2 linked regions of the Danio rerio genome follow. The protein of the gene in region 2 interacts with the protein of the main gene of each other region in a biochemical or structural test. Links are inferred from orthologs where the notes say so. Each region holds a gene or a part of one and is shown on either strand. Other genes may lie near its edges.

Evidence for each region.
Region 1: of the proteins of prmt1 (region 2) and fbl, one has a biochemical effect on the other in vitro, tested with the Homo sapiens proteins (2 studies listed by BioGRID). The link is inferred for Danio rerio from reciprocal best matches to the Homo sapiens genes PRMT1 and FBL.

Annotation. Positions count from the first base shown.
Region 1 is NC_133191.1:46,606,025-46,610,421, reverse strand, and holds the start of fbl (rRNA 2'-O-methyltransferase fibrillarin), read left to right. Parts: upstream 1-1,376; 5' UTR 1,377-1,468; coding exon 1,469-1,478; intron 1,479-3,189; coding exon 3,190-3,297; intron 3,298-4,397.
Region 2 is NC_133178.1:31,171,802-31,176,378, reverse strand, and holds the start of prmt1 (protein arginine N-methyltransferase 1), read left to right. Parts: upstream 1-1,595; 5' UTR 1,596-1,686; coding exon 1,687-1,713; intron 1,714-2,692; coding exon 2,693-2,788; intron 2,789-2,879; coding exon 2,880-3,035; intron 3,036-3,167; coding exon 3,168-3,231; intron 3,232-3,604; coding exon 3,605-3,747; intron 3,748-3,853; coding exon 3,854-3,941; intron 3,942-4,033; coding exon 4,034-4,149; intron 4,150-4,235; coding exon 4,236-4,386; intron 4,387-4,491; coding exon 4,492-4,577. UniProt on the Homo sapiens protein: Arginine methyltransferase that methylates (mono and asymmetric dimethylation) the guanidino nitrogens of arginyl residues present in proteins such as ESR1, histone H2, H3 and H4, FMR1, ILF3, HNRNPA1, HNRNPD, NFATC2IP, SUPT5H, TAF15, EWS, HABP4, SERBP1, RBM15, FOXO1, CHTOP, MAP3K5/ASK1, MICU1 and NPRL2.

The sequences.
Region 1 (4,397 bases), on a different chromosome or scaffold from region 2:
ATATATATATATATATATATATATATATATATATTGTGGGAAGACTGATTAAACTATATACAAAAATGATTTTAGACAATGTTTGACTGCCATAATTAATTACATTTTGAAATAAGCTGTATATTGAGATGTGATGGAATTGATATTTGTTCAGTTCACCATGAAAAAATGTTTCTCTTCTTATCTAAGTTGGTCCTCTTACAGATCGTAAAACTAGACAAACTGTTTAAACTTATGTGGCTATGTTACGATAATTTTTAACCATTTTTTTACTCAACTTTACAAGGCTAAAAGTGCCAGTAGTTGAAGAAATGGCCCAAATACACTTCCTGAGGCCAAAGACTATAGCTAGAGAGTTTTTTTTTTTTGTTTTTTTTTTACAAATGTAAGTTTATAGATATGAGGGGAATAAACCCAGAATAGACTTAAAAACAAAGATATGCCTTGAGCCTACGAGTGGACAACACAATGATGAGTGAGGGATTTAAGATAAGACTAAGATTTATTTAAGATACATTTTATAAGATTTCTTTAACTGTACCTATACATTACCTAAATGTACACTCATACATTTGTATTCATTTAAGTTAGAAAATATATTTCATTTAATTTGAATTGCATCTTTACACCCAATTAGTTGAGTTATTAAATAAATAACCAAAAAATAAATAAATAAATAACCCAACAAGGCACCAAGCATTTAACCCAACTAGTTGAGTTATTCATGAATGATTAAATAAAGGTTAAATATAACCCAACTAAGTACTAAAAATTTTTAACTCAACAATTGGGTTAAATAAATAACTCAACTTTTTTTAGAGAGCAGTCATCCAGTTTGTAAGACCCGGATAAAATCTTAAAATCATACTTCACCTGTATACCTTGAAAGACAATGGAATAATATAAGGGAACTTTTTACAATATGGAATAAACCGATGGTGGCACAGTGGCTGTAGCGCTGTCCCTTCACAGCAAAAAGGTCGCTGGTTCGAGTCCCGGTTGGGTCAGTTCTGGAGTTTGCATGTTCTCCCCGTGTTCCCTGTGGGTTTCCTCCGGGTGGTCGAGTTTGAGTGTGTATATTGATGTTTCCCTGTACTGGGTTGCAGCTGGAAGGGCATCCGCTGTGTATTAATTTAAGCAGAAAACTAGCCTATATTAGATTGTATTAGTAGTGTTGTTGATTTTATCGTTAGTCCTCACCATTTAGTAGCAAATAGCCGAAAAGTCTCTGGGAATTGAACTGAAAGGGCTCATGAAGGCAGCAGATTCATGATTGTAGCTGCAATGTTTCCCGCTAGATGGCGAAACAACGAGTAAAATCACGACTTTTTTTCAAGTGCATTGTGGGTAAAGACGTTCGACGCACATGTGGCCACCTGATCAGTGCAGCAGTAGACCGGAGGAAAAGCGGGTCTGAGTTAACGCCAGCTATTCGTACAGTTAAAACAACCGCACAAAATAAGATAAAATGAGACCAGGTAAGTTATGTACACATTTCGATTTTAAAAGCTAAAGTCAACGCTATAAAATATAATCCAAGTAACGCTGTTTATAAGTGTTGGTTTAGAGTTAGCCGGATGAGTTAGCCACGCACTTGCAGTTTTGTGAAAGAAACGCTCGTTCTCTTTAAATGTCATGGCATTGTTATTTAATTTATTACAAGCTTTGGTGTAGAATTGTTAAAAAGTGATTTTGTTGTAAATAACGTTATTTTTGTACATGTAAATAACGTTACACATGTTACAACGCTGCACGTGCGTGCGACCGAGCCATGCTGTTACACGCGGTGCTGAAGCCCCACATGGCTTTTAACTAGTTAGAGATAATAACCAGTTTGCTTTTGTTTCTGAAACTAGTTGTCTAGTTAATGTGTTTTATTTTAAATGGTGAGTTTTGTGTAACTTTATTCAACTTTTTGTACATTTGAGTTTGTGCGTTGTCGAGTTATTAGAAGTAACGTTAGAGGAATACACGTTTTTTCCTCTTGTACAATAAGTAGTTTTGTTGTTGTGGATGAACAAAGACATAAATACACCCAAAACAGAATGTATTTTGAGCGAGATGTAACTGTTGTTTGTTGTGTGGTCTCCAAAAGTGGGGTATATTCACATGGACTTGAGGTAAAGTTAGTTTTACATTCACACACAGGGACTTTCTCAAAAATATTATTTGCAAATTCTAAATAATGAAATCATTTTAGCAGCGAGTGACTATCAAAGTACAATATTGCTCACAGTTAAATGCGTAGTGCTTGTGTTATTTACAGTCAAATACAGTGTCAATGTATTCGAGTCATACTTGCTTGTAATTTCAGACCGAATATTAAAAGTACAAACGTTATAGTAAACAATATAGGAAACATGTCACAAGTTGTCACTGAATGAATGTGTGAATATAAACTTTTTCAATCATTTAACCCTCTTAATGCTGTCATTTAGCGCTCTAATATCATGACATTCGACTTCTTATTTGCCAAGAGAAGGGTTATTTTGTATTTATGAAACATCAACTAAAACCATGTTGTCTGAACAGCAGCTGTTCATTGAGTGAATGCAGAAAAGGTTTTTGCAATTATTTTTTATATTAAATATTAAAGATAGACTAAATTTTTTAATATGGATTTAATTGATTTTATATGGATTAAAGTTTTTATATGGATTCTGACTAAACTTTTATATTTTTTACGAAACGTTTTTGACACCTAATAGTAATTCATTCTAAAATGACACGAAATGAAAAGTAACTTCTTTTAATTGGTTCTGTACCAAATATATATGCTACAAATGTAACCATTAAAAAAAGTTAATATTTTGAGGCTTTTTAAGCATTTGGAAAGTTTTAGCTTTTTACAAAATGAATGTTTTGTTTTTGTATGTCTTCAGGCCCAAATGTGGTTACTAATGGATTTCATAAATTTGTGTGAATGCAATTTTGATTTATTAAAAGTTTCCATAAATGCAGTACAGCAGACTTGTTTTTGGTACTTCGGACAGTGCAAAGTTAAAAATGTGCTCTACCATACCACCCGGTGAAAACAAGAAACTATAAAAAATGTTTTTCTGGTTATTGTAAGGAGTCACTTGCAACTTTAAACTGGTTTAGTAATAGTATGATCCACAAATGCGTTTTTTCTCCTTTTCTTTTAAATGTTTTGCTCTTTCCCTTCATCAAAGTAATATTTCTCTTCAGGATTCAGCCCAAGGGGAGGTGGTGGTCGTGGAGGATTTGGTGGAAGGGGACGAGGCGGAGGAGACCGCGGAGGAAGAGGAGGATTTCGAGGAGGCAGGGGTGGTTTTGGTAAGCAGGATATTAAAGCAGTTTTATTTTACTCCCATATATATATATATATTGCATGTGCCTTATGGCTTTTTTTAAAAAAGAATTTAAAAGTGATTTTAAATGTGTAGAAAATCGTATTACATTTTAGCAAAGTGTATTTTATAAAAAAACAGTACTCTGGCTTAATTTATAAAATGATGAATGATTTTACAATTATACTACATATTAAATGATTATTTCCTTCGCACTAACAATGGTTTGAAAGATAGATAGATAAATAGAGCGTGGATATTAAGCATTGAACGCATCACCATTTTTTTTTTTTTGGAAAATGTATTTCTAAAGGTGCTGTTGACTTGAATCTTTCCCTGGATGTTAGTAACAAGCAAAAAATCCATATATGTAAAACAAATCTAATTAGTTTACAAATTAGGTTATGCCAAATAAAATGAAGTGAGCAGGGAAAAAGTATTGAACACATGAAGAAAGGGAACCACAGTGAAAGCCCAGGCAGCAGTTGAAATCTCTCAGTAGTTCTTCAGCAACCCTCTGCCCTTCCTCATTGTAAATTAATATTAGCTGCTTTAGTCTAAAATCTACATTATCAAGTAGGGTTGGGTTGATAGATGATGCCATCATCCATTGTCGATGACCGATAGACATCACAATCCTCCACCCCTGTCGCAAATCTGCTCGCAAAAAATACACACTCAGGCCCCGTTTACAAATGGCATTTTAGAACGAAAACGATCCATGTAAACTGGCGTTTCATCTAGCGCTTCCACATTATACCCCTGAAAACGCACATAACATGACCACAAACACACACAAGCACACTCTGTCATGCGCTGCAGTGTAGGCTATACACGCGTCTTAACGCTGAGCTCCAGCAGTCACCCCCAGAGAGCAGTGCACATCGGACAGTTTATCAAGGATGTAGCATTGGATCTTGTCTCGCTATAGTTGTTAAATGTGATGTTTATTTAGTCCTGTCTCTAATCTAACGACTCTTCGGTCTTTTGAATCTATCAGGTAACGTGTCACAGCATCAGTACACTGCTTCAATCTTTTGCTTTCATGCTTGTAATTTTAGCGAAAACCTCAGATACTGTTGGTTA
Region 2 (4,577 bases):
TGCTTACTTTGTATAATTATAACCATATAGTTTATTTTGTGAACAAAACACATGACTAAAGGATGGTTTCCTAAAAAGATTTTGTAAGCTTTTCTATTAGCTTGACAAAAGTCCAACTAATAAAATTTACATGAAAACAATGAAACCATAATTCATTCATTCTCCTTCATCTTAGTCCCTTTATTCATCAGGGGACGCCACAGCAGAATGAACCGCCAACTTATCCAACATATGTTTTATACAGCGGATGCCCTTCCAGCTGCAACCTAGTACCAGGAAACATCCATACACACTCATTCACACTCATACACTACACCAATTTAATTTATTCAATCCACCTATAACACATGGCTTTGGTCTATGGGGGAAACCGGAACACCAGGAGGAAACCAACGCCAACACAGGGAGAACATGCAAGCTTCACACAGAAATGCCAACTGACCCAGCTGGGGCTCAAACCAGCGACCTTCTTACTGTGAGACGACAGTGCTAACCACTAAGCCACTGTGTTCCATAAACAGAAATAAAATGGAATACAGAAACTTGTGCAAAATAAAATATTTTTTCATATTTATTGTACAACATATAGATACATTTGGTACATAACATTTACAATAATAATTATATTATTTACAATGGTACCAATAAAGAAACAACACAAGAACAAAAAACAACAGAAATCAAAACAAAGAAATATGATATCAATAGGTTATCTAATCTGAGAATAGATGCAACAGATAATGAAATTGAAAATAAAAAGGGCAAAATAAAAAAGATAACAAAGATTGGGATATTTAATAGATTACACATGTTGTGCAAATTGTTTACGTTTTGAGTGCATTCTTGTTAAGTGAATCTGGAATTGTAAGTAAATTTTGATCTCTTGTATAAAATACACAAGTGGATTTTATATTTGAAAATTTTATTTATAAATATAAAATATAGGCAGGGCGAAGCAGTGGCGCAGTAGGTAGTGCTGTCGCCTCACAGCAAGAAGGTTGCTGGGTCGCTGGTTCGAGCCTTGGCTCAGTTGGCGTTTCTGTGTGGAGTTTGCATGTTCTCCCTGCGTTTGCGTGGGTTTCCTCCGGGTGCTCCGGTTTCCCCCAGAGTCTAAAGACATGCGGTGCAGGTGAATTGGGTAGGCTAAATTGTCCATAGTGTGTGAGTGCGTGTGTGAATGCATGTGTGGATGTTTCCCAGAGATGGGTTGCAGCTGGAAGGGCATTTGCTGCGTAAAAACTTGCTGGATAAGTTGGCGGTTCATTCCGTTGTGGCGACCCCGGATTAATAAAGGGACTAAGCAGAAGGAAAACGAATAAATGAATATAAAATTTACATAAAAATAGAATAGGGTTTATTGTGAAGCAGACATTAAATTTGTATCTACAACCCAAAATAATAAATGTTGGATTCACAGTAAAATTCTGTAAAATAATATTTGAGATAAAATAAATAAATAATAATCATGTTACAGTTTGGACCAATGACAGTCACGCATCAAAAGAGCGGAAAAACGCATAGTAGAAAAGCCTATGACGAAGAGCCGCAGGAAAGTGGGTGTGGTTATTGTAAAACCACGTGATTGTCACCCAATCAAATCATACAGTCACAGCAAAGAGGCGGGAGCAAAACAAGTGTGTTTTACATGAGCTTTGCTGCAGTCGCGGCTGTGTCCAGTTTATCGAAATGGCGGAGACGGCAGACAGAATGGAGGTAAGCTGAAGCTACTCAAGGCCGGTTCGCCAAAAACGCTTCTGATGCTAAATATCTCGTAACCGTATCAGAATCGACACGGCGATTTTATTTACGTCACACGCCGGTTCCGAATCTTTGGTCTGTGAACAGATTTGATTGCTGCGTATGTAGTTATCAGGTGGCTAGAAATGTGCGCACACGCATCTTGAGCATCCATTTTAGCCTGCCGCAGATAATTCATTCATTTCGCATCACGTGTATGCTAGTGCTAATGTGCTAAATTTGAGCTAGCTTCGAGTTTTTAGTTGTTGAGTGTAACCACAGATGAATTTTGAGATTAAATGTATGAATATTTCTGTCATGTTAGCTACCGTTAGCTCGCTGTTCAGTTTCCACGTGAGCACGCTGGCGGAGGACTTCAATGACTTATTGTTGGGCAGAGACCGCATGGGACTGATGGATAGGAGCTAACGTTACGCTTTTTTTTCCTCTCTGCTAATCACAGTGATTGGGTTTTTTAATAAAACATCCTGTATTGTTTACTATGATCTAGTACTTGCGTCGTGACTAAGTTTTCTTTTAGACCACTTTTCCTCAAATGTGTATAATTAAAAAGTAGAAAAATTTAAGCTTAAGAGGACTCTTCAAAGGTTAACGTTAGGCGTGTGAAGATAAAATATGACTTTTTTTGCTTAACTATCCATTTTAAAAAAAAATGTGTAAAATGGTTCATTGCCTGCTGTGATATTTGCCAAAAGTTGGAACTAAATTCAGAGGAAGCCACCGACTTTATGTAGTTCTGTGTAAAAACACTGTTTACTCAGGGTTATTTACACTTGGCATGTTTGGTTTAAACATGTTTTGGGTCATCTCTTGACTAGTACCTTATTGCTTGCTTGTTTGTTTTAATATACTGAAGATACTGCAAATGTTTGAGAAAAGCCCAGCTCATGACTTTACTTGCTTATTTACATTTTTCTTATCTATTGAAATTGAGGTGTCCCAGGGAGAGAGCTCAGCGAAACCTGCAGCTGAAGACATGACGTCCAAAGACTATTACTTTGATTCCTATGCACACTTTGGCATTCATGAGGTACTTTCTTGTTAGTTCATTAATCTCAGCATTAGTGGTGAAGTCAATTTAATTTATTTATAATTAATGTAAACCCATTGAATCTTCACAGGAGATGCTAAAAGATGAAGTTCGTACTTTGACGTACAGAAACTCCATGTTTCACAACAAGCATCTCTTCAAAGATAAAGTTGTGCTGGATGTGGGAAGTGGTACTGGCATCCTCTGTATGTTTGCAGCCAAAGCTGGAGCCAAGAAAGTTATTGGGGTGAGAAGTAGTCCCATGATTTATTTAAAGCATTTTTGTTACATTTAAGCCATTTATTTGTATGTGGTATTATTTGATCATGCTGTGTATTGTCAGATTAATTTATTAATTTGTTGGTCATTTATTCCTTAGATTGAGTGCAGCAGTATATCAGACTATGCTGTGAAGATTGTGAAGGCCAACAAGCTGGATCATAGTAAGGCCTTCTCAGAGCTTTTGGCATCTTCATTGTTAACTTATTTTCTCAGCATGTTTCAAGGGATAGTTCACCCAAAAATGAAGTTTTACTCCCTCTCAAGTGGTTCTAAACCTATCAGTTTCTTTTTTTCCTGTTGAACACCAAAGAAGATATTTTGAAGAAAGCTGTAAACTGGTAACCGTAGTGACAGGTTTGCATCTTTCTTCAAAATATCATCTTTTGTGTTCAACAGAAGAAAATCACAGGTTTAGAATGAGTGAGGGGAGGTTAAACAATGACCATTTTCAGTTTTGGATTAACAGTTTTGGCCTATACCCATTTTATTCTTTATGTACCTAAAATTTTTAACCATGTACTTTTTCCTGTCCAGTCGTCACTATAATTAAGGGCAAAGTGGAGGAGGTCGAGCTTCCTGTGGAAAATGTAGACATAATCATCTCTGAGTGGATGGGCTACTGTCTCTTCTATGAATCCATGCTTAACACCGTCATTTATGCCAGGGACAAATGGCTGGTGGGTGTATGCTAATGTCTTTTACCATGTTGAAACTGTTCAGTATAAAATCGTATGTGCTTTCTTGATTTAATCACTGTTCACGTTTTCCATTGTTGGCTTTCAGAAACCTGATGGCCTGATTTTTCCTGACAGAGCCACCCTCTATGTCACTGCTATCGAGGATCGGCAGTACAAGGATTACAAAATCCACTGTACGCATCAATCTCTTAATGCACTCTTGAGTCTGTTCAGCTTTCTTTAAAGCAGTAACTCATTTAATTGTTTCATATTTGCACTTTTTTAGGGTGGGAGAACGTGTATGGATTTGACATGTCCTGTATTAAGGAAGTGGCCATTACAGAGCCGCTGGTGGATGTTGTTGATCCCAAACAGCTTGTTAGCACTGCTTGCTTAATTAAGGTTTGTTTGCAACCTTTTATTTTCCAATGTTCACATAATCCCTGCTTTCCTCATTTAATATTCAATACGTTTTCTTGATTCCTTAGGAGGTGGACATCTACACCGTGAAGATTGAGGACCTGTCCTTCACGTCACCTTTCTGCCTGCAGGTGAAAAGAAACGACTACATTCATGCTCTGGTAACCTACTTCAACATAGAGTTCACTCGCTGCCACAAGAGGACAGGCTTCTCTACCAGTAAGTGCTGTGTGTGGTGTTCACCACAAAATCACTTTGTATTCACCACGAGTTTATTGTATTGAAGGATGGTTGAACCCTGTTTAAAGTGAGTTTTGCTTGCAGGCCCAGAGTCTCCTTACACTCACTGGAAGCAGACTGTGTTCTACCTTGATGACTATCTGACAGTAAAGACTGGAGAGGAGATCTTT